5 linked regions of the Coturnix japonica genome follow. The protein of the gene in region 2 purifies or fractionates together with the protein of the main gene of each other region. This does not show direct contact. Links are inferred from orthologs where the notes say so. Each region holds a gene or a part of one and is shown on either strand. Other genes may lie near its edges.

What was found.
Region 1: the proteins of VIM (region 2) and SQSTM1 purify together in Homo sapiens (affinity purification with western blotting; 3 studies listed by BioGRID and IntAct, with this or other methods). This does not show direct contact. The link is inferred for Coturnix japonica from reciprocal best matches to the Homo sapiens genes VIM and SQSTM1.
Region 3: the proteins of VIM (region 2) and XPNPEP3 purify together in Homo sapiens (affinity purification with mass spectrometry; 3 studies listed by BioGRID and IntAct, with this or other methods). This does not show direct contact. The link is inferred for Coturnix japonica from reciprocal best matches to the Homo sapiens genes VIM and XPNPEP3.
Region 4: the proteins of VIM (region 2) and NES purify together in Homo sapiens (affinity purification with mass spectrometry; 3 studies listed by BioGRID and IntAct, counting the BioPlex papers as one, with this or other methods). This does not show direct contact. The link is inferred for Coturnix japonica from reciprocal best matches to the Homo sapiens genes VIM and NES.
Region 5: the proteins of VIM (region 2) and GAN purify together in Homo sapiens (affinity purification with mass spectrometry; 3 studies listed by BioGRID and IntAct, counting the BioPlex papers as one, with this or other methods). This does not show direct contact. The link is inferred for Coturnix japonica from reciprocal best matches to the Homo sapiens genes VIM and GAN.

The regions. Positions count from the first base shown.
Region 1 is NC_029528.1:4,615,711-4,622,217, reverse strand, and holds the start of SQSTM1 (sequestosome-1), read right to left. Parts: upstream 4,158-6,507; 5' UTR 4,081-4,157; coding exon 3,903-4,080; intron 3,803-3,902; coding exon 3,707-3,802; intron 2,977-3,706; coding exon 2,747-2,976; intron 2,652-2,746; coding exon 2,495-2,651; intron 2,053-2,494; coding exon 1,963-2,052; intron 1,446-1,962; coding exon 1,204-1,445; intron 952-1,203; coding exon 744-951; intron 136-743; coding exon 1-135. UniProt on the Homo sapiens protein: Molecular adapter required for selective macroautophagy (aggrephagy) by acting as a bridge between polyubiquitinated proteins and autophagosomes.
Region 2 is NC_029517.1:18,024,005-18,028,962, reverse strand, and holds the end of VIM (vimentin), read left to right. Parts: intron 1-363; coding exon 364-489; intron 490-1,115; coding exon 1,116-1,336; intron 1,337-1,429; coding exon 1,430-1,473; intron 1,474-1,901; coding exon 1,902-1,987; intron 1,988-2,482; coding exon 2,483-2,524; 3' UTR 2,525-3,102; downstream 3,103-4,958. UniProt on the Homo sapiens protein: Vimentins are class-III intermediate filaments found in various non-epithelial cells, especially mesenchymal cells. Vimentin is attached to the nucleus, endoplasmic reticulum, and mitochondria, either laterally or terminally.
Region 3 is NC_029516.1:45,508,601-45,514,514, forward strand, and holds part of XPNPEP3 (xaa-Pro aminopeptidase 3), read right to left. Parts: intron 3,906-5,914; coding exon 3,498-3,905; intron 1,860-3,497; coding exon 1,657-1,859; intron 1,214-1,656; coding exon 1,151-1,213; intron 1-1,150. UniProt on the Homo sapiens protein: Catalyzes the removal of a penultimate prolyl residue from the N-termini of peptides, such as Leu-Pro-Ala. Also shows low activity towards peptides with Ala or Ser at the P1 position.
Region 4 is NC_029540.1:615,663-620,699, reverse strand, and holds the end of NES (nestin), read right to left. Parts: coding exon 2,144-5,037; 3' UTR 1,680-2,143; downstream 1-1,679. UniProt on the Homo sapiens protein: Required for brain and eye development.
Region 5 is NC_029526.1:13,703,451-13,709,364, reverse strand, and holds part of GAN (gigaxonin), read right to left. Parts: intron 1,508-5,914; coding exon 1,393-1,507; intron 554-1,392; coding exon 203-553; intron 1-202. UniProt on the Homo sapiens protein: Probable cytoskeletal component that directly or indirectly plays an important role in neurofilament architecture.

The sequences.
Region 1 (6,507 bases), on a different chromosome or scaffold from region 2:
AATACTGGATGGCATCTAGCGCTGCCCCGATGTCACAGTTCTTTGTCTGCAGGAGTCGAGTGAGCCATCCACCCTCGTCAGAGAAGCCCATGGAGAGCATCTGGGACAGAGACTCAATCAAGCGAGGGTCTGCTTCTGTCAAGAGAATGAGTTTGAAGTTAAAACGCTTCACATTATTAGCAAACCAGCCAAGGCTGTGGTATCACATGGTGGGCTGGCACTAATCCTAGCAGATCTAGCATAGCTGACAAGCGCTGGAAGACACTTTCCTCTGTATCCTATGAGGCAGACATTTTGAGATACAGCATATGTAACCTGCTAAGGAAGCAGCTGAGTTAGATCCATCTGTCCTTGCTGTAAACCTCATTGCCAGTGGTTTCAGTTAAGTGACCTGGCAGACTCCTAACTAGCTCTTGCCAGAAAAGTGTCTTAAGTTACAGGATGTATTGTCTACAGCCTGCATTAAAAGGCTCTCCAAGAGTACACAGCAAGGACACTGATTAGAGGCCACCTCTCTCATCCTGCTCAAATGGCATATTAGTACCAGTTTAAGACTTGCTGCCACCATTCAAGCAGAGAACATGCCTGTTCCTAACAGCATGCAGAGTGCTGCCAGAGCACAAGTTACAGTTTAACTTGTCTGTATGTGAGCTTGGTTCCTAAGCAGGTTTGCTTATATTGGACAAGTTGGCAATAAGTGAGAGCAACTTTAACTCACGTGCAACCTGCATGCATTCTCGTACCTGGTGGGAGATGTGGGTAGAGTGCAGCCTCTCTCAGCCCTGTAGGTCCTGCCTGGGGAGCTTCCTGAGCTACATCTAGGGAGCTGGGATCATCTGTCTCTGGCATTTGTAGAGACTGCAGTTCACCTGTGGAAGGATCCACTTCTTTGGAAGACAAGTGGGTCCAGTCCTCGTCACCCCCTGATGAACTGCTTGACTCACTGTGTGCCTGAAATGGAAAGAAAGGAGGTCCAGGTGCCGTAGTGCTTTCCAGGTAGGATGCATGCTCTTACTATCTGCTTTTAATAGGAAGAATTACATTTACAACAAGTCCCACCTTTGCTGTAAACCAGTAAAGCAAAGTGCCATATATTCTCTATCTGCTGACAACTGAATCATCAGTCCCTCAACACATACTGAATTATTTCCTTTTCAGTAAGGCCTCAGCAAGCGTATTAAATTAATGCAGTGTTTCTTGTACCTGGGACTGGAGGCTGCCATCTTCCATTTGTGTGGGCACAGGATCTATCACCATGTCTTGTATCTGCTCTGTAACATTGTTTACTACCGTTGCAGAATCTGTGCTATTCCAGCATGGTTTGCTCTGACTGTTCTGATTAGCAGTACTGCTGCTTGACTCGGCACCGTTATTCTCTTGATTAGAAGCAGGAGTCACTTTGCTTCTCTGTCCTCCGTGTTCCACATCAATATCAACTTCAATACCTGGGAATACATTTGAGACCAAGAAAAAACCATTAGATTTTTGAAAGCACGGTTCTAAGAAAAAAAGCAAACTTTAATCCTGGACTAAGTGCTGCAGCATGACTGTAACCCTACAGCTCCCCATATAATACGTATGAATTCAAGTGCAAAGCGTTCTTTTAGTTAGCTCTGATGCACCAATTAGTCATCCTGCACTAAAAAGACAGGCCATGTGTTTAGAGGGTCAAGGCAGACCTTAAGTATGTGTGCCTAAGCAAAATACCACTGTAACATGATTTTAAATCATCGGTGATTTGGGGTTATATAATTAATCCCTTCCTTGGATCCTTACAAAGGACTCTGAAAAGGTACTGAGTAGATGGCCTATACCCACACAATTTTAGTACACAGAAACTTAAGGCTTTTGAGGCTGAGTAGCACAAAGTGGTTCTGGTACCAGCCACAACAGCTGGCTGCTGCTCCTGGTGGGAGCAAAGCCATTCTCAGGGATGGGGATGACACACCATAAGTCACTTACCCAGGGGGCTCAGAAAAGCTGCCACACTCTCCCCAACGTTCTTTAAGAAGGTGACATTGGGGTCCTGGGGCTGGCTGTTAGTAGAAGCTTCTAGAAGAACAATTTGTGTTAGTACACATAGCAGCCCATAGGGAAAGAGCACATCCCCAGGAATTCTTGGTGCTTGTTTTGTGTCACTCATCTGCACAGCACCAAGGCAGCAGAGAGACCAAAACCACCTCTGGAACAGAAGACCAGTGGCATTAGCACTGTTAAGGCTCATCAGCCATGCTGAAAGCACATCTAAGAGCAGAGCAGTGACATGCTTGACCTAATAGCTCTGCTTGGTCTGGTTCCAAATAGGCTCTCCATAACCTCATATATTGTGTGGCCACCAGACCACACCAGTGTCCTGGAAAGGGCTCATTATTTCACACAAATTGGATTAGTTCCCATGTCTATTTTCCCACCCAGATCCCACACTGGGCTGTGAAGTCCCAGCTTCTCTGGCTCCTCCACTACTATTCTCCTTTAGCAGACCATCTCCTCTTACCTCCAGCAGCGGGTGGACTGGAGGCAGCAGCACTGGCCTGGGCTTGTTCCGAGTTCTGGCACGGAGCTGCAGGTGCGGGATACCCCCAGCAGTGCATCCAGGGGAAGGGTGGAACACCATGCCGCATCTTACGGAGCCAGCGCCCTCTGGGAATCCACTGCAAAGGGTAACGTTCATGGGACCAGGTGAAACTTAAAGCTTACATTTGGGCAGCATCCCTTTTGTTGGTTCTGCTCCATAGGTTTTGCTCACCTCAAACGGATTCAGCAGCGGGCTCTGAAACATCACCATGTTGTGCTCCTTGTGGATGCCTTTCCCCTCACAGGTGCTGCACAGGTCGTAGTCTGGGCAGACGGTGCACTTAAATCGAGCGCCCACCACCGGCCCCTCGCAGCCGTCACAGATGACATTGGGGTGCACCATGTCCCGGGGAGGCTCCTGGCTGCACTGGGAGCGATGTTCACGCCTGCACTCCTTTTTCTCTATTAAGGAAAGGGATCTTTGCATCAAGAACGAGGGTACTATTTAAAGGCTGGAAATCGGGCAGAGGGGAAGGAAACACAAACAGCCCTTGTCACAGCAGTATTGACTTACTAGGGCAGTTTATTTTTACACTGGCTGCCAAACACAAGCTGGGGGCACATAAGAACATAAACCAAGTGCAAAGGGGTGGTTCAAGGATACCCGCTCTTCAAACACTTTGTTTTAGATCAGTGCTGCACCACCCTGCCTGGAGCATCCTCCTACCTTGTGGAGTGCTGCGAGAAGAGAATGTTTCTGAACAGAGCTGAGCAGTGCCAGGGGACACTGCAGGTGAGAACTGAGACAAGAAGGGCGGCCTACACTACTCACATCACAGCCTACAGATAAAGCTTTGTAGGTGTCCAAGTGAACAGAGCGGACTGGGGAATGATGTGCTTAGGAATAAGCTGGTTTTGGGGTTTCTTTACATGTCATGGCACCTGCTGGCAGTACGGCAGGGGGTTCCTAGGACCATCCTGAACACTGCAGCGCTCACTGTGCCAACCCAGGCCCCGGAGCCAGGAGGAACCCCTGCACACAGTGGGTCTGTGCCCGTCTTTACCTCGCCCTTTATGTAACCTCCCCTCTGAGCTGCAGCACGAGGATGAGGGACAGGACCGGGATTTTCCCGGTCTCGGAGCCGTGCCAGCAGCACAGAGCGCTCGGTGCCACCGGGCTGCGGGGCGTTACCTTTGATGTACACACGGAAGACCCCGTCCTGCACGTAAGGCATGGCCATATCCAGCTCCTCGTCGGTGGAGAACGCGATCAGGTCCCCGTCTTCATCTGGACAGAGCAGAGCACACCGTCAGGCGCTCGGCCCGCACCCACCTCCCGGACAACGAAGGGGGCCCCGACCCACAGCGAGCCCCCCCGCCCCGCTCACCCTTGTAATGCATACGGAACGCGGGCGGCGGCCCGGCCCGCAGCAGCCCCTGGAAGAGCTCGGCGACGCGGTCGTGGACGGGCTGGTAGCGGACGGGAGCAATGAGCGAGAAGCGGCGGATCTCGCGGGCCGCGTCGTCCTTGCCCAGCAGGTAGGCCTTCACCGTCAGCGCCGCCATGGCTGTGGCGCAGCACGAATTGCTGCGGGACAACGAGCGGCGGGAGGCGGCGCGGGGCGGGCGGTGCTGCGGGAGGGAGCGGCGGCACCGAGCCTTATAGAGCGGGGGGACGGGCCGGGGTGGGCACAGCCCTGGGTTAAACCACGACCACTGCCATTAGGCACCGCCCCGCCGCCTGGAAATACAGAGCCCATATTCGCCCCGAAAGTAATGCCTCCTATTTATCTGCATGGAAACTACAACAGCTACAGAGATCACAGTGACGCTGTTTGACAGAGCAGGTTCTCAGCTACAAAGCACTGTTTTTCAACGCGGTCACCACCACTGTGCTGTGCATTGTCATCAGTGGTGAACACGAGGCTGCATGCTGCTCTACAGGTGACTGTGAAACACACGGCCATGCCGTGCTCACAGTGCTGTGCTCACAGTGCTGTGCTCACCCACTCGTTGGGCTCCATAACACTCAGCAGCTGTTGGCTCCTTCACCCTCTGCTGCCATCCCACCTGCAAATGGGAGGCATTACTTTTGGAGCAACCCCTTTGCCTCAGCTCTGTAGCACTGATTCCCTCCAGCCCACAGCCTGGCTGCCCACCTTGGGCTGAGGCAATCACAGTGTGTAAGCCATGCTGTGCTGCACTGCAGGGTGAGCGTCCCCCCACGATGGGTTGTGTGTGCCACAACACGGCCTGCCGTGTGGATGTGCCCTTGGTGCACATGTGGCTGCTCTGGGATCACAGCACGCTCCTGGGACGTGGCACTCGTGCAGCATGAGGTGACAAGTGAGAGCTTGGTGTGAGCCACAGCCAGGCATCAACATGAGTCCTTGCTCTCCTCCATGGGCACTTCCATCCAGTAAACATGGAGAGCGTCCCATCTCAGCTGCCTGCTGAGTCACGCTGGGCTCTCTGGCCGTGACATCATTCACTTTCTCAAAGCACAAAGCAAACAAGGCCTGCGGTGAGCAGTGAGCTCAGCTCAGTCACGGGACGGGGTGACTCAGCATTCCCTGCTCCTCCTCGAGGTGGGGATTTCCTCCTCCAGGCCCTGACTCTGGTGTTTCCCCGTGGCCTGGTGCTTCGGCCCTGCCGTGCTCCCATGTATTCCAATGGCACTCACTGCATCCTCCCATCCCACAGCCGGACGGACAGACAGATGTCTCCCCACCAACCCCAACTGCACACTGCTCTGCAGCCTGAGATTTGGCTTAAGCTCTTGTTAACCTGAGCCTGTATTAACCTGGAGGACCCAGGCCTGGAATTTATCTGGCAGCACTGAATGTTTTCTTGCTCTTCTTTAGGAACCACATTCCATCCATAGAACAACCCTTGCTCAAAAAACCACTTGTCAGCCCCGGCTTATGAGCAGCTCCCCAGATGGACGGAGCAGGAGGACAGCAAAGAGGATGGGAATAAAACTGTTCCAGTTTCACGACTCCAAGTTGCAGAGGGAGGGCTCAGAAAGGAGCATTCAGCAGCCCCGCAGCTCTGCTTCCTCCCTCCACCCACCTTCTGCTGGAAACTGTTTGCAAACGTTTGCTGAGATTGCTGCTCCAAAGGCTCAGTCGTCAGTAGTGCTCCTTCTACCCAAGCTCTGCACTGTCACAGCAAAGCCCTGCTGGGATGCTGCTCCTGTGCTCACGGACCACAACAGAGGCTGCAGGAGGTTCTGCAGAGGGAATCATTATCCAAATCACCACCCAAGGGGCTGCAGCTGGGCTGGGAGGGTTTGCCCTTGTGCAGAGCTGCAGAGAGCAGGTGCTGGTGCTTTCCAGAGGCTTCTGGAGAGGGATCCTCCGGATGTACCAGGTCAGATGCTGGTGACTCACCCCGTCCCGTGACTACTTCCTCCTCCAGCCCTGCAGAAGGGCTGCCCCACCACCACCGTGCCTCCTTCAGCCACACCAGGGCACAGAGAGCTGCATGGGGCAGCTCCTGGCATCCAATCACCATCATAACACCTTGCATCCATCCTGCCCCCAGGGTGTCACAAATGCATGCTTACACATACACGTATACGCATACATTAATAGGTGTACGTGCATTAATACAGAAGTACATCCCTTTTTTGGTGGTAGGATCATATTCAGACACGTTGCTTTGGAAAGCTGTGTGGGTGGAAGGGGAAGCCGAGCTGTCTTTTTGCTGCCTCATTTTGAGGTTTGGATTTCTTGAACCTGGTGGTGGTTACATGGGATCAGCACCATTTGTCACTGGTGTGACACAGCATTTGTTTTTAAGGGAGGAAGACACGGACAGAGAGTGAGGAAGGTGGGCACAATGTGCGGATGGGAAGCACAGAGCACAGCACACATCTGTGCTATGGGAGCACATCGGAGCTCCGTGTTTGCACAGGTGAGGTGGCACTTTTTCCTACCTACATTCATTGCCTGCAGTGAGTGCTGTGCTCACAGTGAGATTTGTGACTTT
Region 2 (4,958 bases):
TAGCACAGCCGCAGAGTAGGGTAGTCTTTAAACTTATTGATCTGGGAAGAATACAGTTGGAAAAATTACTTGTGCCCTAAGTGCAGCATCAAACTAATGGGCTCGTTTCCTGTTCTTCCCTATTCTTGGAGCTGGAGGCAGTTCTTAAGTATATACTTAGGAAAGGAATGAATAAATGCATGAAAGGATCTGAAACATAACAATCAGGAATAGAGAAGTTCAGTGTAATGTTCACGTTTAAATATTTCATGTGCTAGAACATCCCTGTAATGGCTTCAGTTGCTTCCAAATCCTGGGTCTAGAAGTAGCCTGTTACACCATTTTAATGAGGAGTTATGCTAACCAAACTGGGTGTTTCTACAGTTTGCAGATCTCTCCGAAGCTGCTAATAGGAACAATGATGCCCTGCGCCAGGCCAAACAAGAAGCTAATGAATACCGCAGACAGATTCAGTCTCTCACCTGTGAAGTTGATGCCCTTAAAGGAAGTGTAAGTAGATGATGTTCTTCCTGATGCAGCTTTTTAAGCACTGTGCTGTAGTTCAGTGGATGGACGTGGCTGCAGCTGATCTCCCGTACAAGGCAGCAGTGTACCCATCCTTCCTGAAAAAGACTCATTGGGCTCCATTTGTCTGCATGTACTGTGTAGTGCACTGCTCAGATTGCTGTACTGAGCTGGTCTTTCTCAAGGTGTAAACATTACAGAATGAGCTATACGAAGCCTAAGGGAGCAGTGGAAAAGTGCAGATCTTGTACTTTCTTGAATCTAGTTGCCTGAAAGGCTGGCTTGAAATGGAGGTAACTGTTTAGTACACCGGTAGACTCCCTCACTAAGTACTATCTGCGTGCTGACTTGTACTGTATGTGTTTGACTTACTGTGGGGGTTTGCTTTGCTGTCTGGTAGCATAATGTTAAACGTGTCTCATCAGACACCTCACTCACAAGGCTTCACAAGGGGAGGATAAGGAGATGATAAAAGGGGGGCATGTTTGAGCCTTTTCAGAAAGGATACTGTTGTTCAACTTCCCTTCATGCTTTTTCTTATTTAAGTAATGAAGGGCCTTGCCATTAGGAGTGGCTGAACTGTAATTGTACTTGACTTTCTTCTCTCCCAGAATGAATCCCTGGAGCGCCAGATGCGTGAAATGGAGGAGAATTTTGCTGTTGAAGCTGCTAACTACCAAGACACTATTGGCCGCCTGCAGGATGAGATTCAGAACATGAAGGAAGAAATGGCTCGCCAGCTGCGTGAGTACCAGGAGCTGCTGAATGTCAAGATGGCCCTGGATATTGAGATTGCGACCTACAGGAAACTGCTGGAAGGAGAAGAGAGCAGGTAAAAATCATATGCAGACACCTACTTTCTAGCAGTTACTGTTTGAGATTCTGTACCATTGTTTGACTTGATCCATCTCTTCTTTTCCTTCAGGATTAACATGCCTATTCCAACCTTTGCTTCTTTGAACCTGAGAGGTAAGCTGTTTCTTTTGGGTCTATGTAGGCAGCTGTTTTTAATCTTTAGCAAAAAGGTCATGGATAGTTCCTTTTACTCTAGTATTTGAACTGGTATAAATGCAGCTGTATTTGAAAGTCTTTCTTACACACAACTACAGTATTTGCAGTTACTTAATTTTGGATGAGAGGTGGTACTTTGTTCCTGGGTGTACACATAGGGAAGTATCAATATCATAACAAGTGATTTGGATTTCTGCTGAAGCTGCTTTAAGAGGAATAGGAAGAAAATAAATAGGAAGTAAAGCTAGTTTATCATTCATTATCATTCAAAGAGAAGAAGGACTTCATATACTAAACTGGGATTCTGAAAGCAGGTACTGACGTCGGTCAGTTTGTTGAGGAGGCGCTTCATCCACACTTTGGTAACAATACATTTTCTTCTGCAGAAACCAACATTGAGTCTCAGCCAATGGTTGACACTCACTCGAAGAGGACACTTCTAATTAAGACTGTGGAAACTAGAGATGGACAGGTTGGTGGTAACTTCTTTTTTTTCCCCTTCTTTTCAATTTCTATCTCAGCTGGTTCCTTTGCCCACTTCCGTACCCTGTGCCACTGATTGGTGCAATCAATACATGGCAGCGTCTGGCAGTCCAAGCTGCATGGCTGGGCATGCAGATGTAGCAAATGTACTTAAGTGGAATAGACCACAAAAAAGATCTGAGAACAGCTTGAGTGAGAACAGTCTCTCTTTAGAGGAGATTTGAGGTTCAGTTGAGTTACAGGTTCTCAAGATTTCTCCTGTCACATTAGAAAACTGTTGCAGAGGAAGCATTTATTAGAGGTGGGATAGTGTATTTGGCCTACATTGAAGTTGAGCTGGTTAAGCACGTGCAGGTACAATTTAAACTTCTCACTCGTAGGCAAATGCTGATATCTTAGTGTACATGTGCCACAGTTTGTTTCAGTTGTAACTCTTTATAACAGCTATCTTAAGCTTAATGCAAGTGTCTCTGTTTTTCAACAGGTTATTAATGAAACTTCCCAGCACCATGATGACTTGGAGTAAAGCTGAAGTGAAGATGCAGACTTAATGCAGGAGAAATTCTTACCAGCAAGGGTTTAAAAAGTTCATGTCTTAAAGAAAGAAACAGCTTTCAAGTGCCTTTCTCCAGTTTTTCCATGAGCGCAAGATTATTATGCTAGGAAATAGGTCTTAGATCTTGCAAACTGACTCTCCCTGAAGGATTAGAGTTTACAATGGAGTCTAGTTTACAAATAGCAATATCTTGTGCTGCAATACTATTTTTTAAGTATCTGAATTTAATAAAACTGCTTTTTCCAGCACAGTATGAGCAACCTGTCGCTACTTCAATAAATCTTTGGAAAATGGCTCTTGATGTGTTCTAATTTAACTTCATGACTTTCTGCAAAGCCATAAATTAATGCTGGAATTACTATACGGTTGATAACTCCAGTACTGATTGTGTGGAATATTGTTTTCAGATTAACTAGACAAACTTTTTTCCCCATTTAATGCTTAGGTTTTGGAACCAATTAAAATGTGGACTATAACTGGCAGATGCATAATGTATTGATACTTCTTATCAGTTGAATAAAATGATACTTCAAGCTAATAAAAATTAATCTTGCTTTCATATATCAGTTAATCCAGTTGATGAGCTAAGAGTACTCAAAATACTTTGGAGCTAAGCTGTATAAACTGTGGTAGATAAGTGAGACACGTAGCTCATGCACACCCTTATCTGAGACAGCACCTTTGCAAAATTAACAGCTGACTTGATGTATTGACTTCACTTTCCAGGAAAGATTAGTTCCCAAAGGCTTGTCTGTACTACAGGAACTGAAATGAAGGCTTCAGCTGAAGTAGTGGGTTATGGAGATGATATTTAAAGGGAAAAGAAGGAAAACAGCTTTCCCAAGCTATGCTGTGGCATCAGCTCTTTCTGAACACTTATCTAAAAGAGAAGAGATCCTCACTGATCTGTGTTTTCTGCTGAAAATCAGCCTCAGTGCAGCAAAATGGGGCAACTCCCATCTGGACTAACAGCCTCCTAGAGCAAAGGGAGAGGTTTCAGTTCTCTATGAAGGGTATTAGAAGAAAAGCAAAACACTTCAAATTGATGTAGTCAAGATACAAAAGTAACTTTTGTTCTGCATTACTTCTGTAGATCTTTCTGTAAGAATTCAGTAAGGTCTCATCTGCTGGATGAGTAAATGAGGACTGGAATTGTTCTACAAGTATGAACTGCATTTATTCCTTTTTCAAGGTGAAGACACAAAGGTTAAGTTCAGTGTTGTGCTGATGCTTTCTTAGGTGTGTGGGAGCTGATCTTTCTTTATGAAAAGATTACCCAGACAAAAAAAAAAACCAAAACCAAAAAACAAACAAAACCCACACACCTTTTTTCATCGCTATTAGTTAGTTCTTCCCTTTGTTTCAGGGCATGATGATTAACAAGCAGCACAGGGTCTGGTGGGAGGAGGCCGTAGGTGTGCACATTTTTATGCCACCAGCTGTAGCACCCAGCCAGGGGTTGTGCAGTAACCAAGGTGCTAAAGGGGAAGTTAGTCAGGGACAGCCTGGTGAGCAGGATACTCTCACTGAAAAGTGAGACTGAACCCAGCATCTCATGTAGAGGTTACAGATACAAGGCTTTTTATGTTACATACAACTACAGCTGAGAGATGCCCTTTATGATAGTGGTAGTTCTGGGTATGTACAACAGCTCATTGTGAGCACCTACCTGACACAAGCATCTGCAGCCTTTAAGGATAAGAGTGAGGCACTTCCATCCTGCTCACAGCAGCTTTGGGCACTAAGAGCTCATTCCTGCTGAAGTACAGGGGCGCACTGAGCAGTGGCACTGCTGAGCAGGAGGAGCAGGCTCTGCCTGGAGACAGCAGGAACCTGTGTGTGGCACATGCTGCTGGAGATCACCTGAGTTACGAGAGCCTTTCACACGCTGCTTCTCTCCCTGACACCAGTTGCCCAGTTCAGTTCTTTCTGTTGCCCTTATTTCCTCACCAACAAGATAAAAGTAGTGACAGTGTCAAGCCTGACAGCAAAGCAAAGGAGTTATTCCTGGCTCTTTTGTGTTCAGGGTTACTCACAGCCCAGAGAAATATGCAATAGAGCTTTCAATCCTGCAAATAAATAGAGAAATAAACAAAAATAAAATCTGGTTGCCGAGGGGATAGGAAGACTGCAGAAAGTCATTCCAAACCTGCAGTCTGTGCAAGCACAGTGTTCTCACAGCAGAAAGGAGAGCGTGTGGTGGCTGTGTAAACAGCAATTAGATTGGAGCACACCAGGCTTATGCTCATATATAACTGCTGTAAACGTTTAGATACCAAAAGGCTGCTCTCACACCTCCTCAGAGCCTTCTCCAGGCTACACAGCCCCAGCTTTCTCAGCCTGTCCTCCTATGGGAGGTGCTCCATCCCTTGGATCATTTTTGTGTCCCCCCTCTGGATGAGTT
Region 3 (5,914 bases), on a different chromosome or scaffold from region 2:
CTTGCTTCCTTCTAATTCTCCCACAAAGCGCCAAGACTTGTTTTGTGGTTTTGTTTTTTTTAACTCCCTCATTGCCTTGGTGATAGTTTGTAAAATGGATAGTAGAAAACAAACTGCATTTGATTTACACAGGTAACAAAATTACACACCTTAAAGGAAGTAATTTCTTGAGACCTACAGCCCTGTACTAAGCAACAAGCAGATAACTAAAACATAAAAGTAACTTATTTCTTTTCTCAGTTATCATATTTGTTGTATGATTTATCATCTACAGTGAATTATCTTTACTGAAGATATAATCTCTCTGCACGTTTAGTAAGAAGAGGAAAATCCAAACGTCCCAGAATTCATACTTATTGTGGGTGGAAATGGTAAAGATTCCTTGACTGAAAGCTTATGTTCAAACTCAGGATTTTTCATTTACTGGGCTAGTGTGTCTCCAGAGCTATCAGTCTGCTTAGATAAGGCACACTTTGGACTCTTGTCCATGAGACACATTTACTCAAACACAGATGTAGCCAACCCTCTCTTTTATAGCTTTTCTGGACTTAACTGTTATATTTTGTCTCCCCCTTTATCTCTTATTTTCTTTAGACCTCCCAATTCTTTCTCCTCATGGCTTTCCTTTGCTTCTTCTCCCACACTGAAACTTCCGTCACACAGTGTATTTCTTTAACTGAACCTTCATGTAGTAGCTTCTGACCATCACTGATGGGATTAGTTTGTATCCTGCCACAACACTCAAGGTGCTTTGAAGAATCAGATCAGCATCTTCAAAGCCGGACTAGAGAAGAAGCTTATTTTCTGTTAATTTTATCAATCTCCTACCTTTTTTTCAATGCCTTTAAATCCACAACAACCATTTGTGGAGCTTTGACTCTATCTTTATTGACTCTTGGAAATAACAACAATGAACAAAAGACCTCCAGGAAGAATATTTTATCCTCAGTGTAGGAGCACTGAACTTTGGAGCCCGTCCATGCATGAGAGCAACAGCACTAGTATGGCTACCAGGTACAAGATAAATATCCATAGGGGCAGAAAAATATGTATTTCTCTTTCATTATTGGGAGATCTGACATTCCTAGTTTCCTGGAAGGGTAAGAAGCATTTAACCCTTCCATCCCACCTCCAACAATAACACACTCACCTTTGCATACAGAAAGGCTTCATCCACTGGAGATTTTCTGGCAAACATTGTCTCTATGAAAGCCTATAAAAGAAGAAGAAGGACCTTTCAGTTAGTAAAGGACCTGCTGTTACCTGCTGTCTTTTGGGGAATGCCTAAAATTCGCTGTTTCCTTGAAAACAATGGAACAAATGGAGAAGAAAATAGCTCAGGGAAGGAGAGTAGATGTTGGGGAGACAGTATAAGGGGCACTGCTGTTCCTGAATAAACACAGCTTTAAAACAAAGTCTAACACCTTCTGGATCATCTTGGCTGAAGTTCCCTTGAGAGAAGCTCGTGGTACATGCTGTTTTCCTGTGTTTCTTTGTGAAATGGGGGGAGCTGAGCCCAGCCAATAGCTGAGAAACAGCAGTTCAGTAACTAAGATTAGATCTTATCCTTCCAGCCTAACTCATGCTGTAACACCCTCTCCGCTTTCTTGTTTAAAGGAATGCACTGGTTCTTTCTGAGAGTACACAACTGCGCACCTCCGATGTCACTCGTCCAGCTATCTTCATCCTTTCAATCTCCGCAGGAGATTTGATCAGCCGAAGGTTTTGCACTAGATGCCGGATGCCTTGGATGTGATTTTTGCTCCGAGCTTTTATCTCAACCAGGGGCTGCATATAGTCAGAGTGCAGTTCTTTATGCACTGGTTTAGTCATATCATACCACACCTTGTTTGACTCACCTGGAATACAAAACAAATGTTGATGCAGATGAAGGTAAGTTCAGATATTCCCTCCTCATACTGTACAAAATCACCCCTCCTAAGCTAGACATGTTGCTGCACTGGTAATTTTCTCTGAATCTGTATTTACAGGTCATGAATTTCTATCAGATAACACTAGAGATCCCTTAAAAATCCAGAAAATTAGCAGTGCATAACATGTAGATTTGACAAATCCCCATTTGTATGCAAATATTGGATTTTCTGATCATCACTGATCTTGCACAGATAAATGTAGCTCGTGTATCAGGGTTGCAGTTGCATAGGCAAGCAAGTCACTGCAGTGGGACATGTTTTGAATCATTCTCTCATTTATCCATTACATATTGACCATGCTTTGGAATATCTTTGGTGAGCAACTGCTTATTTCAGCGATTTAGAGGAGATTAACTTACTGAGGACAAACATATTTACCTATGTGAAAATCTATTTAGAACATCAGAATTAGCGCCTGTTTCCCCATAGGAATGTTTTAAACGGGAACAAAGGTGAGGGAACTAACAAACTCCCTTGATGGATCATTTTTCAAGTTATGAAATATTCACATTTATTATGAATAAATTCCTTCAAGTTTCCAGTGCTTCAGAGTGGTTCTGGCCTTATAAACAAAAAGATATGCCTAAAACAGTAATACGTGCTCTCTTGTTTATATTGTTCCTTACTTCTCAGAGATGTGCCCATCAGTGTTCACATACGTACCCAAAAAACTCAGGTCACAGAGGAGAGGCACAACCCCCATGAGAGAAGCACTTCTACATCATCTCACTGGACTTCCAAAGAAAATATATGGATATTAAAGTTGTCAGCCTAACTAAAATTTTCTGTGAATACACTGAACACAGAATAGGCAGGAGCATCAGAACAAGCCTCTTACTTGCACTGACCGCCTCTCGGTTTACAAACATCGTTACTGAGACCATGTGGGACAGAAGGTGGGAATTCATGTTAGTTAGCCTTAGATGCCTAAACTAAGATCCTGCATCTTTTCTACAGTCATCCAACAAGGATAGATTACTTCTAATGAGAGTATTTTAAAGCTCTTACATGAGCAGCTGAAGGAGCTGGGATTGTTCAGTCTGAAGAAGAGGAGGCTCAGGGGAGACCTTATTGCTCTCTATAACTACCTGAAGGAAGGTTGTTGTGAGCTGGGGGTCGGCCTCTTCTCTTGTGTAACTGGCAATAGGACTAGAGAAAATGGCTTCAAGCTGCACCAGAGGAGGCTCAGGTTGGATGTTAGGAAATACTACTCTGCAAGAGTGGTCAGGCAGTGGAATGGGCTGTCAGGGAGGTAGTGGAGTCACCGATCCTGGAGGTGTTTAAGGAACATTTGGACATTGTGTTGAGGGACATGGTTTAGTGAGAGCTATAGGTGATGGGTGGATTGTTGGACTGGATGATCTTGCAGGTCTTTTCCAACCTTGGTGATTCTGTGACTTTGTGAGACCCTCTTTGCTTCTGTCACCAATACAGGCTCACAGATTAGGCATTTAAGGGAGAAGCCTATACCTACTTATTACAGTTTCTTCCCAGAACCGTAAAGACGTACCATTCAGACCCCACGACCCACTCTTCACCTCATCCCCCGTTTGTTTTTGTTACCTTTCAGCTTGGCCACCAAGTGCCTGAACTCCTCAATAGTGTACGCTTCATCTACTCCTGTAAGAGCAATGGCCCCATCTGTGCCTGACCTGGGCCCATCCCACAGCTCTCGGCTCGGATCTCTCCGGGGCACAAAAAGTATGGCCTTGTGAGAGGGAAGTGCTTTGCCAGGTAAGCTCTGCAGCACCAGGATGCTGTCAGGCTCCTGGAACCCACAGAGATACAGGAAGTTCGTGTCCTGGTGGAAAACATAGGGGATGTCATTGCTCATGTAGTACATGGGGTTGGATAGCAGAATCACCGTGTGGTCCAATCCTTCCCAGCCTTGGGCTTCCTTCTGGATCAATGTCATCAGTTTGTGCCGGCGAAGAGAATATTCCACCTGTGACAATCCTGGGGTTACTTCCCCTATGACCAAAAAAACAAATCAGATCAAAATAATTCAAGGCCCTCGTGATATTTTACTAATTACATGCTGGATTCCTGCTTGCTTCCTGATGCCTTTCATATGCATGGCTTTGTTGCAGTCTCCCACTAGCCTTTCCATTGCTCTTTCAACATCTCAGCTCTCACCCCTGCAGCACATCCTTGCTTACTCTGCTCCTGCACTGTGCAAACAGGAGGAATTTGTTTTAAACACATTTTCTGATATATATTTCTATGCAAAGGCAGAAATTACAGAACCTGGTAGAACCAGACAATTGTCCAAAGCATTCAGTGAACAGAAGTTTGGTAGGAGTGACCTTCAGAAAGATAAGGAAAAAAGGGGACAAGGCAAAGTAAACTTTGTTGAAAACATGACTTTTTTTATAGCATCTGGACATTGAACCAAAGATTACCTCCTTATGCTGAGCACTGATTTCATCAGGTAAAGCTAGAATGTCTGTTCAAATACACACTAAGTCAACTCATAAAGTAACTAGTCCTGAACCCTAAGAGGCAGACTGAGAGCTAGATACAGGGAAGGGAGTCAGAAACACAGAGGTTCTCCTCACAGGATTCCAAGCAGAAGGAAACCACGACCCACAGGCTGGTATCACTCTGATTAACAGAAGGAATCTTTCCTGAGGAAGATGTAGCTGATCTCAATAATTCAACACCTGGATTTTTCTGAAGCTAAATATTATATTCCACGCGGCTCTAAACAAATGTTTTCTTTGATGAAAGTCTGCATACCAGTCATGAAGGACAAGAAATGAAACAATCAAGAAACTCACCAAAAGTGGACTGAAGTTGAAAGAACAACCAACAACTAAGTATATATTTTTAAGAGCATGAGATTCCTTAACTATGCTATAGACTAAGACATAAGCCTTCTCAGTGCTTTGGCTAATATCCTATATTAACACAGGATTTAATTTAGATTGCATTTTCATACCGCTAAATTATAACGTCATACTCTTTCTTTACTCTTTAAGGTATTGACAATTATAGGAAAGAAAATGCAAATTTGACTTTTACTGTAAATGGATTCTTGCATGAGTAGGGCCGGGGGTTGGGGGGGGAGTTCTATCCAGCATGTTTGTCTCTGACAAGAAAAGAATTTAAAGAAATAATGCTTTTCATTTACATTAAACTTTATAGCTTGGTATTTGCTGTAGAAATTTTCTTGCTTTATCTATAGGTGTAGAATGATATAGAATACAGAAACTCTTTCACTGCAATCTGATCCCACAATTCTGCAATATTATACTGCATGTTTCCTATGCTCCACTGTGTTCCTGTCAGCTAACTGCTGCAAACAGCCCAGTAAACTGCAATAGAGTGGAACATGGGAACCTCAGTTGCTTTCCAACTGTGAGGTGTGGAGTCCTCCAATCTTTAAAGTCATTTTCTTTTAAAATTAATCATTTCAGCTCAGCAATGTCATATTATTTCTGTAGAAAGGCTGAGAGCCCTGAGACTGTTCAGCCTTGAGAAGACTGAGAGGGGATCTTATCAATGCTTACAGATATCTAAAGGGTGGAAGTCAAATAGATGGGGTCAGGCTCTTTTCAGTGGTGTCCAGCAACAGGACAAGGGTCAGCAGTCACAAATTAGAATACCAGAAGTTCCATACAAACATGAGGAAGAAACTCTTTATTATGAGGGTGATGGAGCACTGGAACAGACAGCCCAGAGAAGATGTGAAGTCTCCCCTGGAGATGTTCAAAACCCACTTGTAGTCTGCAACTTACTCTAGGGAACCCACTTTAGCAGGGGGGTTGGAGTTTATGATCTCCAGGGGCCCCTTCCAGCTCCTAAGATTTTGTGGTTCCATGAAAGTAATTCCTCCTATTTTATTGTGTTGGCTCATGACACCAGAGGTGGATAGCAGTGGTATGGCAGGTTGAACCTTCACACCAGTATTCTGTTACATTTTGTTGCTGTGCTGCAGAGGGCAGCAAAGGGTCAGTCTGACAAAACAGTATCTGCTA
Region 4 (5,037 bases), on a different chromosome or scaffold from region 2:
CAACCTTAGAGGAAACAAAACCCTTAATTGTCTGGCAGGGGGCCAGGCTGAGGGGGTCTTCGAGGCTCTTAAAGCATCTACTTTGCCAACACAGTGGCCCATGTCATACCCAAGCTGTGCCCACCAGCCCTTGCTTGTGTTGCTCACACATTCAGTACCTTATGGTGTATAAGCAGCTTTCAGGGGTCAGGATGAAACAACCACCTCCCTTCCCACCCCCAAAAAGCCCCATTGCCCCCCAGATTAGATTAGATGTGCTCGGCTGGCTGGATTTAATGAGGCGGGTGGCAGACATCTGATTTGCTCCAGTGACTTTTGGCTAACAGAGTGCATATGTGCTCCCATGGGTGCTGGGCATGGGGTGATCCCAGCCCTGGGGTGATGGGTGTGTAGGGTTGGACTGTAGATGGGGATCCCTATGGGGTTGGTACCCTAGAAAGGGGGCAGCCCCTTTTGGGGGCACTCATGTCCCATTTGGTGACATCCACTCATGCAATTTGTGTTGTCTCTGGGCAAGAGTGGCTGGGTTTTACTTCCAACCAAGTGCCCCCACAGCCATCCCCACCCCTATGGTGACCCCTCAGCCCTTGACCCTTCCTCCTCCTCCTCCTCCTCCTCAGGGTGAGGAGGGAGCTGCCCCCACCATCTGTCCCCCCTCGTCTCTTTGTCAGCATTGGGCTGCCTGGAATGCGTATTAATTTTGGGAGGAATGCAGCCCCCCGCATGGCCCAGCATTTCACCTCCCCCACCCCACAGCATCCCCACAGCTTTTGGGGATGAAGGGGAGGGAAAGGGGGGGGGTCCGCCATGGATAACTGAGCCACCATCGGGTGATGCTGCCCAGGCCTCTCTGCAGGGCAGGCTGTGGGCCAGGGGCTGATTGAACACAGGCTCAGTGCCTGATTAAACTAATCGGAGGGGGATTTTTTTTTTGGTTCTTGTTGTATCACTTCATTCGAGTTTGTCCTTAAAAGGAAACCATCGCTTGTGGGTAGGGGAGGGGGCTGGGGGGGGGGGGGGCTTTGTGCGGTGAAGGCTGATAAATGCAGGGTCCTTATCACAGCCTGGCTCCATGCAGTGCTGGCAGGGGCACAGAGGGCTGAACCCAGCGTGTGGGTGAGCAGCACAGCATTGAGTGCAGCATGCCAATGCCACCCAGTTCCCCTCACCCCCTGCCCACCGTGACTCAGCCTTTTGCCCACATAAGGCCACCCATTCTCCGGCCGCTGGCGCGTTCCTTCGTGTCCAATGCACAAAAGAGGCATTGAGCTGCACTGATCTGGGGATCTATTTGGCACCCACACGATGCCCACCCCTCACAGACCCCCTCTGGGTGCCATAGGGCTAAGTGGTAACGTGTCGTCCATCCGGGCTGGAGCAATGTGCCTTGGTTGGGTTGGGATGCTTGAGTACTGGGCAGCCTTGTGGGCAGCATGCCTGGCTCAGGCAGCAATAGCAGCTGCTTTCTGCTGTCTCACTGTTGAGTGTGTTGGCACAGGGTCAGGGTGGGCTGGCACCCATCAACACTGTGTCCAACAGCATCCCTAGCACAGCGGGTAGGGGTAAACAGCCTCAAACACACCGTATCCTCCCCACACCCCCAGCCCAGCTTGAAGTCCATGAGTTCCCCCATCCATCTCCTCCCCCCTCCATAGGAATGAGAGTTGGGATGCAGCAGGTCAGAGTGGGAGGGCGATGCTTTATTAACTTAGTGTCAATGCAGCGGATGCATCCGACGTGGCTCAGCGCTGTGAGCATCGTGTAGGTTGGGGATAGACATCCCGGTGTGCAGCACAAAGGTGAGGCTGTATGGAAATCACACCGCGTGCACCTGGCTGGGTTGGATGGGGCAGGAGGAGATGAAACGTTTAAATTAAATACTGCAATAAAGAGTGAACCTGGGGTACAAAATGAGGCTGAACCCAGCACAAGTATGGGATCTAGGGGCAGAGATGGAGCCTGGTTTCTTGCTCTGAGGTGTGAAGTCGTGGCCCCTCATTCAGCTGCGCTGCCGTGTGCATCCATTCAACAAGGCAAAACCCACACAAACATGTTACAAACCAAAAGGAAACGGGTGTGCTACGTAGGCAGTGCTATGGGAGGCGTCCGATTGTCGTGGGGGGCTGTGGGGGTCCCACCACCATCACTCCTCCCCCGAGGACCAGGGCTCCTGCTCTGGGTGCAGTGGAGAGAGCGAAGGGACAGGCTCAGCCCCACTGTGCTTGCTGGGCAGGGAGTGGGCAGAAGGGGCTTCACTTGGGTGGGTGATGCCATTCAGCCCCTCCTCGGTGAACTCAGCCAGGTCCTCCAGGCTGGCTTGTCGATGAAGCCCATTCTGCTCCCCATTCTTGGTGTGCTCTGGTTCTGCTATTGCCTCCTGCACTGTTGGCTGCTCATCACTGGATGAGGTGGGTGAGGACCCCCCTTCCTCCTCCTGTAGGGGCTGTGTGTCGCCATCCCCCTCCTCATCCTTGGCTAGCTTGGCTCCCAGTACCAGCTCCTGATTGAACTCTAGGGCTTGCTCTACTATCTCCAGGATATCTGAGTCTTTCACCATGTCCACTGGAAGCTGTGTGGGCACATCGGGGAGATATTCAGCCACCTCTATGCCAGCTCCATGCTCCAGCATAGTGCCTGGAGGTGGGTCAGTGTTGGAGGGGTCTGTGTTGGAGGTTTCAGTGGCTGGGGGATTGTCTCCATCCTGCACATCCTCCTCCCCCAGCCCCTCATCACTCAGGGTGGTCTTATCAGCGTGCTCTTCAGACAGCCCCTCAGCCATGGGCACAGCCAGTCCTTCCTCCAGCTCAGCAGCAAAACCCCCTGCATCCTCCTCATCCTCCTCCTTTGGCATCTCAAATTCTCCCATGGGCATTTTCACATCTTCAGCTTCCCCCACAAATGGCTCCAAGTGCTCTTCATCCTCTGGCACCGGAGAAGCTCCTCCAGGCACTGTGAGTTCATCCTTTCTGTCTTCTGCTGTTTCAACTTTAATTTCTTCAAATTCCTCTGAGTTCTCAGCTTCCTCCATGCTGGACCCCTCTTGGTTGGGAGCAGAAACTATGAAGTACCCTTCCTCCTCCTCAGTGCATTCTGGCTCAGGGTTCAGCTCCATCCCTGACTCCTTGCAGCTCTCTGGCACTGCATGAACTGCTGCCTCATCGCTCCCTCTCAGCTCCTCTTCCTCCTCCTGAGCCATTTCAGGTGCTGTCTCCTCATCCCCTCCACTGGATGGAGGGTTTGGATCAGACTCCAGCACCTCCCCACTGTATGCACATAGTGGTGTGCTGTTGAGCGTATCCTCCATTTCCATCCTGCACGGTTTGGGCTCCTCCAACTGAGTATCCTCTGACTGAATGTCCTCCTCCATGGGCTCATCATTCTCTGCACCATTGCCTGGATCCTGCTGCATCACTGCAGTGTTGGGGCTGCCTCTCTCCAGCTCAATGGGCTCCAAGCTCAGCTCCTCATCCTGCTCCTCCAGCACCTCCACTGGATCCTGTGGATCCCCTGGTGCCTCCCCAGTGTCCCCATACCTGATCTCCTTTTGTCCTGGGGCCACATCAACCTCCTGTCCTGCTGTGTCCTGTGACTGATGCTGGCTCTGCACCTCACTCCCAGCATCTCCCTCATCCTCACCCTCCTGGGTTCCCTCTGTTGCTGTCGGTGACATGACATCTCCCTCCTCATTTTCTGCTGCCTCCGCAGGTGGGTTATCATCCACCTGGGCTGGCTCTTGGGATGTGATGGTGTTGACTCCTGTCTCCTCTTTATCCTCCTCTGTCCCTTCCCAACCCTGTGCTTGCTGCTTTTCACTGATGTCATTGTCTTCCCTGCCCCATGCCCCCTCTCCTGGCTGCAGCACCATGTCCTGCTCCAACCCATCCTCTGCAGAGCCCTGCTCCCCATGCTGCACCCAAGGTTCCCCAGGTTCCTCCTGAGGGTCTCCAGATTCCTCCTGCAAGTCTCCATGATCCTCATTCAGGTCCCCATGTTCTTCCTTCAAGACCCCGTGTTCCTCCCACAGGTCTACATGTTCCTCCTGGGTGTCACCATGTTCCTTTTGCAAGTCCCCATGCTCCTCCTGCAGATCCCCATGCTCTATCTGCAGGTCCCTTTGATCCTCCTGCAGGTCCCTATATTCCTCCTGTGGGTCCCCATGCTCTACCTGCCGGTCCCCAAGCTCCTCCTGTGGCTCTCTGTGTTCGTCCTGCAGGTCCCCATGTTCCTCTTGCAGGTCCCTTTGTTCCTCCTGCAGGACCCCATGCTCCTCCTGCAGGTCTCTGTATTCCTCCTGCAGGTCCCCAAGCTCCTCCTGTGGCTCTCTGTGTTCGTCCTGCAGGTCCCCCTGCTCCTCTTGCAGGTCCCTGTATTCCTCCTGCAGGTCCCCATGCTCATCCTGGGTCTCCCCATGTTCCTCTTGCAGGTCCCTGTATTCCTCCTGGGGGTCCCTATGCTCCACCTGCAGGTCCCCATGTTCCTCCTGCAGGTCCCCATGCTCATTCTGGGTCTCCCCCGGCTCCTCCTGCAGGTCCCCATGCTCCACCTGCAGGTCCCCATACTCCACCTGCAAGTCCCCATGCTCCTCCTGCAGGTCCCTATGTTCCTCCTGGGTGTCCCTATGTTCCTCCTGCAGGTCCCTGTATTCCTCCTGGGGGTCCCTATGCTCCACCTGCAGGTCCCCATACTCCTCCTGCAGGTCCCTATGCTCCTCCTGGGTGTCCCCATGCTCCTGGGTGTCCCTATGTTCCTCCTGGGTGTCCCCATGCTCCACCTGCAGGTCCATATGCTCCTCCTGTAAGTCCCTCTGTTCCTCCCACAGGTCCTCATGCTCCTCCTGGGTGTCCCCATGCTCCTGGGTGTCCCTATGCTCCATCTGCAGGTCCCCATGTTCCACTTGCAGATCCCCATGTTCCTCCTGCAGGTCCCCGGGCTCCTCCTGCAGGTCCCTATGTTCCTCCTGGGTGTCCCCATGTTCTTCCTGTAGGTCCCTGTGTTCCTCCCACAGGTCCTCATTCTCCTCCTGCAGGTCCCCATGTC
Region 5 (5,914 bases), on a different chromosome or scaffold from region 2:
CATCCCCAACCCTGGAGGTATTTCAGGGTCATGTGGACATCAAGCTGGGTGGTGGGGTTTAAGACTTGGTACTGTTACATGATGTCTGAACTCAATGATCTCGTGACTAAATGACTCTACAGTTCTACCTGAAGTTCCCACCCATCAGAATAAGCACAATAATTTAAGTCACATTAAAAAATAACCCTTTTAGCATCCTGACCTTTCTTGATTCTGAATCATGAGAAATCCACCTAATCACTGCTTCAAAGACGTATCTTTCATTTCCAACGTTGAGCTTTTCCATCGACAGCACTTCTTTCAGTTTTTGAGGAGTCAGTTCCAAGAATTCCTCTGTGCTGCTGACATCTCGAAAATGAGTTTCCAGATACTCTGAGGCAAGGTAGTGAACATGATGCAAACAATAGTGCAGTGCAAAGTCCCGAATACCAATACAGTTCTCAGCAGCTATGCAACCTTCTAAAAACTCACAGCAGAGAGTTTTTAAGTCTGTAAGCAGCAGGAGATCAGCTGCCTGTACCACATCTTGGATAGTTTCTTCATTTAGCCTGATCTGCAAGAATTAATTTAGAAGTTATCGCTACTATCACCCGTTTGCTTCATGACATGTCCATATTCACTACAATCATTCGCAGCAGCTGGGAAATGGAATATTAACAGCATTGCAAAAATTAAGAGAAATCAATACAACCACTATACACTGATAAATTAACCAAGGAAGGGGAAGGGATTGACTTGACAGAAGGTGTCAAAGCAGGATTTTGCACCTGAGGGAACCATGAAATTGCTGCTCTCATCCAAGAGCCTACAATGGATTTTTCCGCAATAAATTAATTACCTTTAAACAAGAAGCAGCACATCCAGGAAAGAACCTCAGGATGTATCTGCTTCTTTGCTTTTGCCTAAAGCTCAAGTAGTTCAGCCATCACACTCTGAACTGCACACATTGACTCCTGCTAAGGCTACTGGAATAAAGACACAGTGGGCACACGGCCAGCAGGAGGCCAGAGAACCAGACAGAATGCCTGCAGTTCTTTAATATATGGGGTCAGTGATGGGGTCTCAGCTTCCACTGCTGTCAATGCAGTTTGCTTTTCTGGTAGTGAAAGTATTCATACATTAAAGCAGGCTACTGAAGACAGTTTAATACAAGTATTTAAAATGGAATTTTTCAGTCCTCTTCCACAGTGTGACAAGAGAGAACTCCTTGCAGAACTTGCTGCCTCTATTTCACGGGCAGAACCTATATGAGATGTACCACTCTGCAGTCTCTTCATCGCTAATCTTTAAAGTGTGATCCCCAATGGATTTATCTTCTGCTATAGTAACATTAAAACCCAGGTTGTTTTGTCAAACAATTCAATTTCCATCTAGTTCTTTTTAATACCATACCTGCCCACTGAAGATGTAATCTAGTATCTCTTTCATGATATCAACAGATATCCCTTCAAGTTCAATCTTGTACGTTGAGCCATCATCCTTTGGAGGGTTGTAATTCAACTTCGTTCTAAGAGAAGAAGGGAAGATGAATCAATAAATAAGCAGCACTCAAGAGCTGGGCACAGCATTTCTTTCTAAAGAAAAATGACAGCAGGAAACTGTGGATCACATTCGCTAAAACAGGAATGGTAAAACCTTACAGTATAGTCTGAAAATTGGCACGAAGAGATTATATGTGTGGACTCTGGTACTGCTCATCACACGTGCAGACCGAACAAAAGCAGGTTTAGCCTTGGAAACTACTTATGGCACTGAAGAGCCAAAGCAATTTTCTCCTGGCTCATTCATCCCAAGCATTCACAAACATCACTCACAGCTTCAAACAGAAGGGCACTTCTGCTGACAGGTGAAACAAGAATTTCCTTTGGTAAAGGTGAAACAAACTAACAGACAGCGCCCATTGCTTTCCCAAAACAACACACTGGAATGAGCATATGTGACTGAATGTACCCCAGCAGCACAACTCGACCATTCTGTCTGGGTTATGATGTTATCAGCCCGGTGTTACGACTGGCTGCAGCTGCACTGTGTGCTCACAGTTCTAGGAAACAGGCCATGTTCTGCTCAGCCAAGCTGTAAATATTCACCTGTATCAGCAGACACGTTTCTGGTGAGCAAGTTTCTTTAAAAACCCCGGAAAGTTTGGATGTGCTTTTGAATAGAATGGAGAAGAACTGGAAAACACCTTAAATTGTCACTGTCTTCTGTTACACACACTCACACTAAGCAGATATGACTTCGCCAACGGCCAGATTCTGCTTCACTGACACTCAGAATAAATCATTTTCTCAAAACATACAACTCGCATCAAATAAAATCTGAGTCTATAAAGAGTCTGAAGAGCAAACAAGGATGGCAGTTTGAGCTCTCAACCATATCTGCTGCCTTGTTTTCATGCTGCTCTTCTACGCTGTGAGCAGAACTGTCAGCAATAACTGCTCCAATCCATGCACATCACTGCAACAGCACTGACATTAAGCTGCTGTGCCCTGTGTTTGTGTAGCACCCAGCGCATGTAACAGAACAACAACATAATTTGGATGAGCAAATTGCTTATTTCCTAACTCTTGGAATGAGATTAGGAAAATTAAACACCTTCTGTAAATGGCCCACGTGTGTTGAAAGAACAGACACTGATCTGTGAACTGTCAGCTAGAAACTTCTATAGCAAATATAGGGCTCAAGCAATGCTGTGCAACTCGTATCCCAACCCACCCCATCCTGCCCAAGGGGAACAGGCATTTCCCAAACCTACAAGCTCCAAATGAAGGAAGGAGAATCTGCACACACAGACATCCATTCCCAGTTCCAGGGTCAGGTTTCTAGATGCAGATTTTCAAGTCTATCCAAATTACCTCAATTTCATGTTCGTTGGTTACACTTAAGTTTGGAGTTTCTTGTTTGATAATGAAAGCTATACATTTCTCTCCTGGGATTAAATGGCATTTTTGTTATTAACACCAAACAGATCTACGTTAGCAGTGCCTGGAACAGCAGCCAGGTGGGATCCATTCCACACCAAGAACCTACGGGTAACAGCTATGGACCAACACCGAACCAGGGCAGCCAATGCACAGTGGGTTTTAAACCAAGGGCAAGCACATAATAAACACATTGCATAGCAGCACTAATGAGGAGATTAGGGAAAGGACTAGCACTGCTTATCACTAACTTTCATCTCAGCATCACCAGCCCACACCCAAGCTAAATCACCTTGTTGCATGGACTTTACACTGACACCTCCTAGTAACAAGGAAGCATTGCCCAGAGCTTTGGGGTCTTATCAGGCTCTGTGTTCTATTTCCTGTGTGTTTCTTCAGGGCACAACAGTTGTTAACCTGAAAAGAAACAAACCAATTGCAGATACTTCCCCAAAACACAAACAGAGCAGAGAGAAAATAAACTTGAGAGAAGTCGTACAGTTACAGTCTCTTGTATGCAGACAAACACGCACAGTATGCAAATGCTTCCCACTCAGTTTCCAACGACGCTGTGCTCCTATCATCTGAGAATAGTAGTTATCCATCTGTCTCAGAGCCTTAATTTGCTCGCTAATGAACTACCGGGTTCCCTGTTTTGGCACAAAGGTGTCTGAGCCGTGACACAAGAACCACTCCCAAACAGCAGCTGGATGGCTCATAGGGCTGGAATAGGCTAAGATAGAAAACTGAGTGTAGCAGCTTAGAGAAAACTGGAAGAAGAGGAAAAAAAACGGGGTACATAAGAGGAAGGAAAGGGGACTTTCCTCTTCTTGCACCACCTGCACTCACTCCTCACCAGCAAACAGAGCTCAAGTGCCCTGGTCACAGCACATCCCACTCTCAGAACCAGAATGTTTCCAAACATGTTTGTTCCAAGCTCAGGTGCAGAGCAGACGGCAGTGTGCAAAACACACAACCTGCTTGGTTCTCCATCAAATCTCAGTCTAAAAGAAAAGCTCCAAACCATGTTTGAACAAAGGTTTCCAGTCTGTCCATATGCCACGATGCTCCTTTCCATAGTGATTCATTCTTCCTATGATCTGCATGGATGAAATCTGGAAACCAGCAATGGACAGCAACGCGCTATGGCTGCTTCCAATGCATGTGAGAGCCTCCTGCTAAGGACAACATTTCTCATGACTTTAAAAGCACTCTGATTTGCCAAACCATTGCATAAATAGCTGCCTCATTCTTCTTCAGCTCAGAAGACCGACCAGACCATCCAGATTTGGAAGGAAATAAAACCCCGTGGCACAGAGCACAGCCCAGATGCGCACAGAAAACAAAGCAAGGGAATTTCTTAGCCTTATTTTCTCACTTAATTCAGTTCAGAACAGCTTGACTCCATGCATACGAACAAGCCCTACTGTGCTTGATGCTGTGTATCTGTCATAGACAGATTTAGAATCTACTTGTCCACGTCACTTAAGGAGCACAATCCTAATGAGTCATCTCAGATGTCACTGCATAACACACAGCAAGGAAACCATCCCAATACCTCTTCTTGAGATGTGAGCAATAAGACCAGCAAGTTAAATGAGAGCAATGCAGTCCCCACAGAGAACACCCCAGACTGCAGTTACTTGAGTAGGTTTAAGACATTTGTAGTGAAGAACAATTAGAAATTGGGAAACAAAGCCAGTTGGTTTGGTTTTGGTGCTTTGCAATAGGAGGTTATAACAAAACAAAGCTTTTGCCTACTTGGACATCACCACACTGTTAACAACGCAGCTCTGCAGAGCAGCTTACACAGCTGTGAGCAGCCAGATCCCAGCAGGCAAGAGGGAAACACTCTTCTTTCTAAAAGTTGCCTTTCCAAATTACTGATTTAGCTCCAGATTAATCACAAGGGCCAGCCTACACTGCACAGCCTCTGCCAATGGACGCTATTCCATCTCAGCACTGAAGTAACAAGGCTATCCTTCCAAATCAAAGCACAATAAAAGCCATTTTTGCTGACACATCCTTTATCTGCACCAGCGCTGTGACCTTCTCGAGAAGGCAGTTTCAAATGGAGCTGTATCTCTGACACAGCTGCATCCCAGGCCAGTTGTGGCCTGGACACCAGGAGGTGGCCATGGGACACCAGAGAGCACAAGCCTGTGTTGAAATGGACCACAATGATCATCCAACTCCAACCCCCTGCTGTGTGCAGGGTCTCCATCCACCAGCCCAGGCTGCCCAGAGCCACATCCAGCCTGGCCTTGAATGCCTGCAGGGATGGGGCACCCACAGCCTCCTTGGGCAACCTGTTCCAGTGCGCCACCACCCTCTGTGTGAAGCATTCTACCTGCAACATTTTTCTTCCACCTAAGCTGATCTTTTTGCATGCAAAGAACCTTAATAATAATTTACACCGTTAAATAGGTCACACACAACAACATGATGCAGCAGTTCACTCCACCCACTGCCCTCCTCCAACACGGCACTTTGCAGCCAAATGAGAGGCTCTCCTGGAGGTTGCGCCCTGGCCTTCAGCAGTGCACATAAAAGACTGACTGTCTTCACCACACCCTGCAATGGGTGCCAGCTCTCGGTGCGTTTTGGCTGTGCCTCGGCTACGTCTTTCTTTTTATGATCATCTGTAACTGCAACTTCTGGTCTCAAGGCGAGATATTCCACCCAACAGCTCAGCATACAGATCTGCACAAGTTGCTTCTTTTGGTTTAAAGGGGAACAATGAGGAATAATCTGAACTTCCCAACAGAGAGAAAAATTCAGTCAGGCAAAAACTTAAGGCTTTTTTCCCCTTCTATATGAAAAAAACCAGAATGAAATGACACACAAAGTGAATCCTTCAACAGCAGCACAGGGCATGATCACAGCTGGTGGGCTTCCCTCAATGAAGAACCTCTTTACCAGCCCTGGCTGCCACCTCCTCACAGGAAGATGATTATCACATTCCATCCCATAACAGAAATACCTCTAAAAAC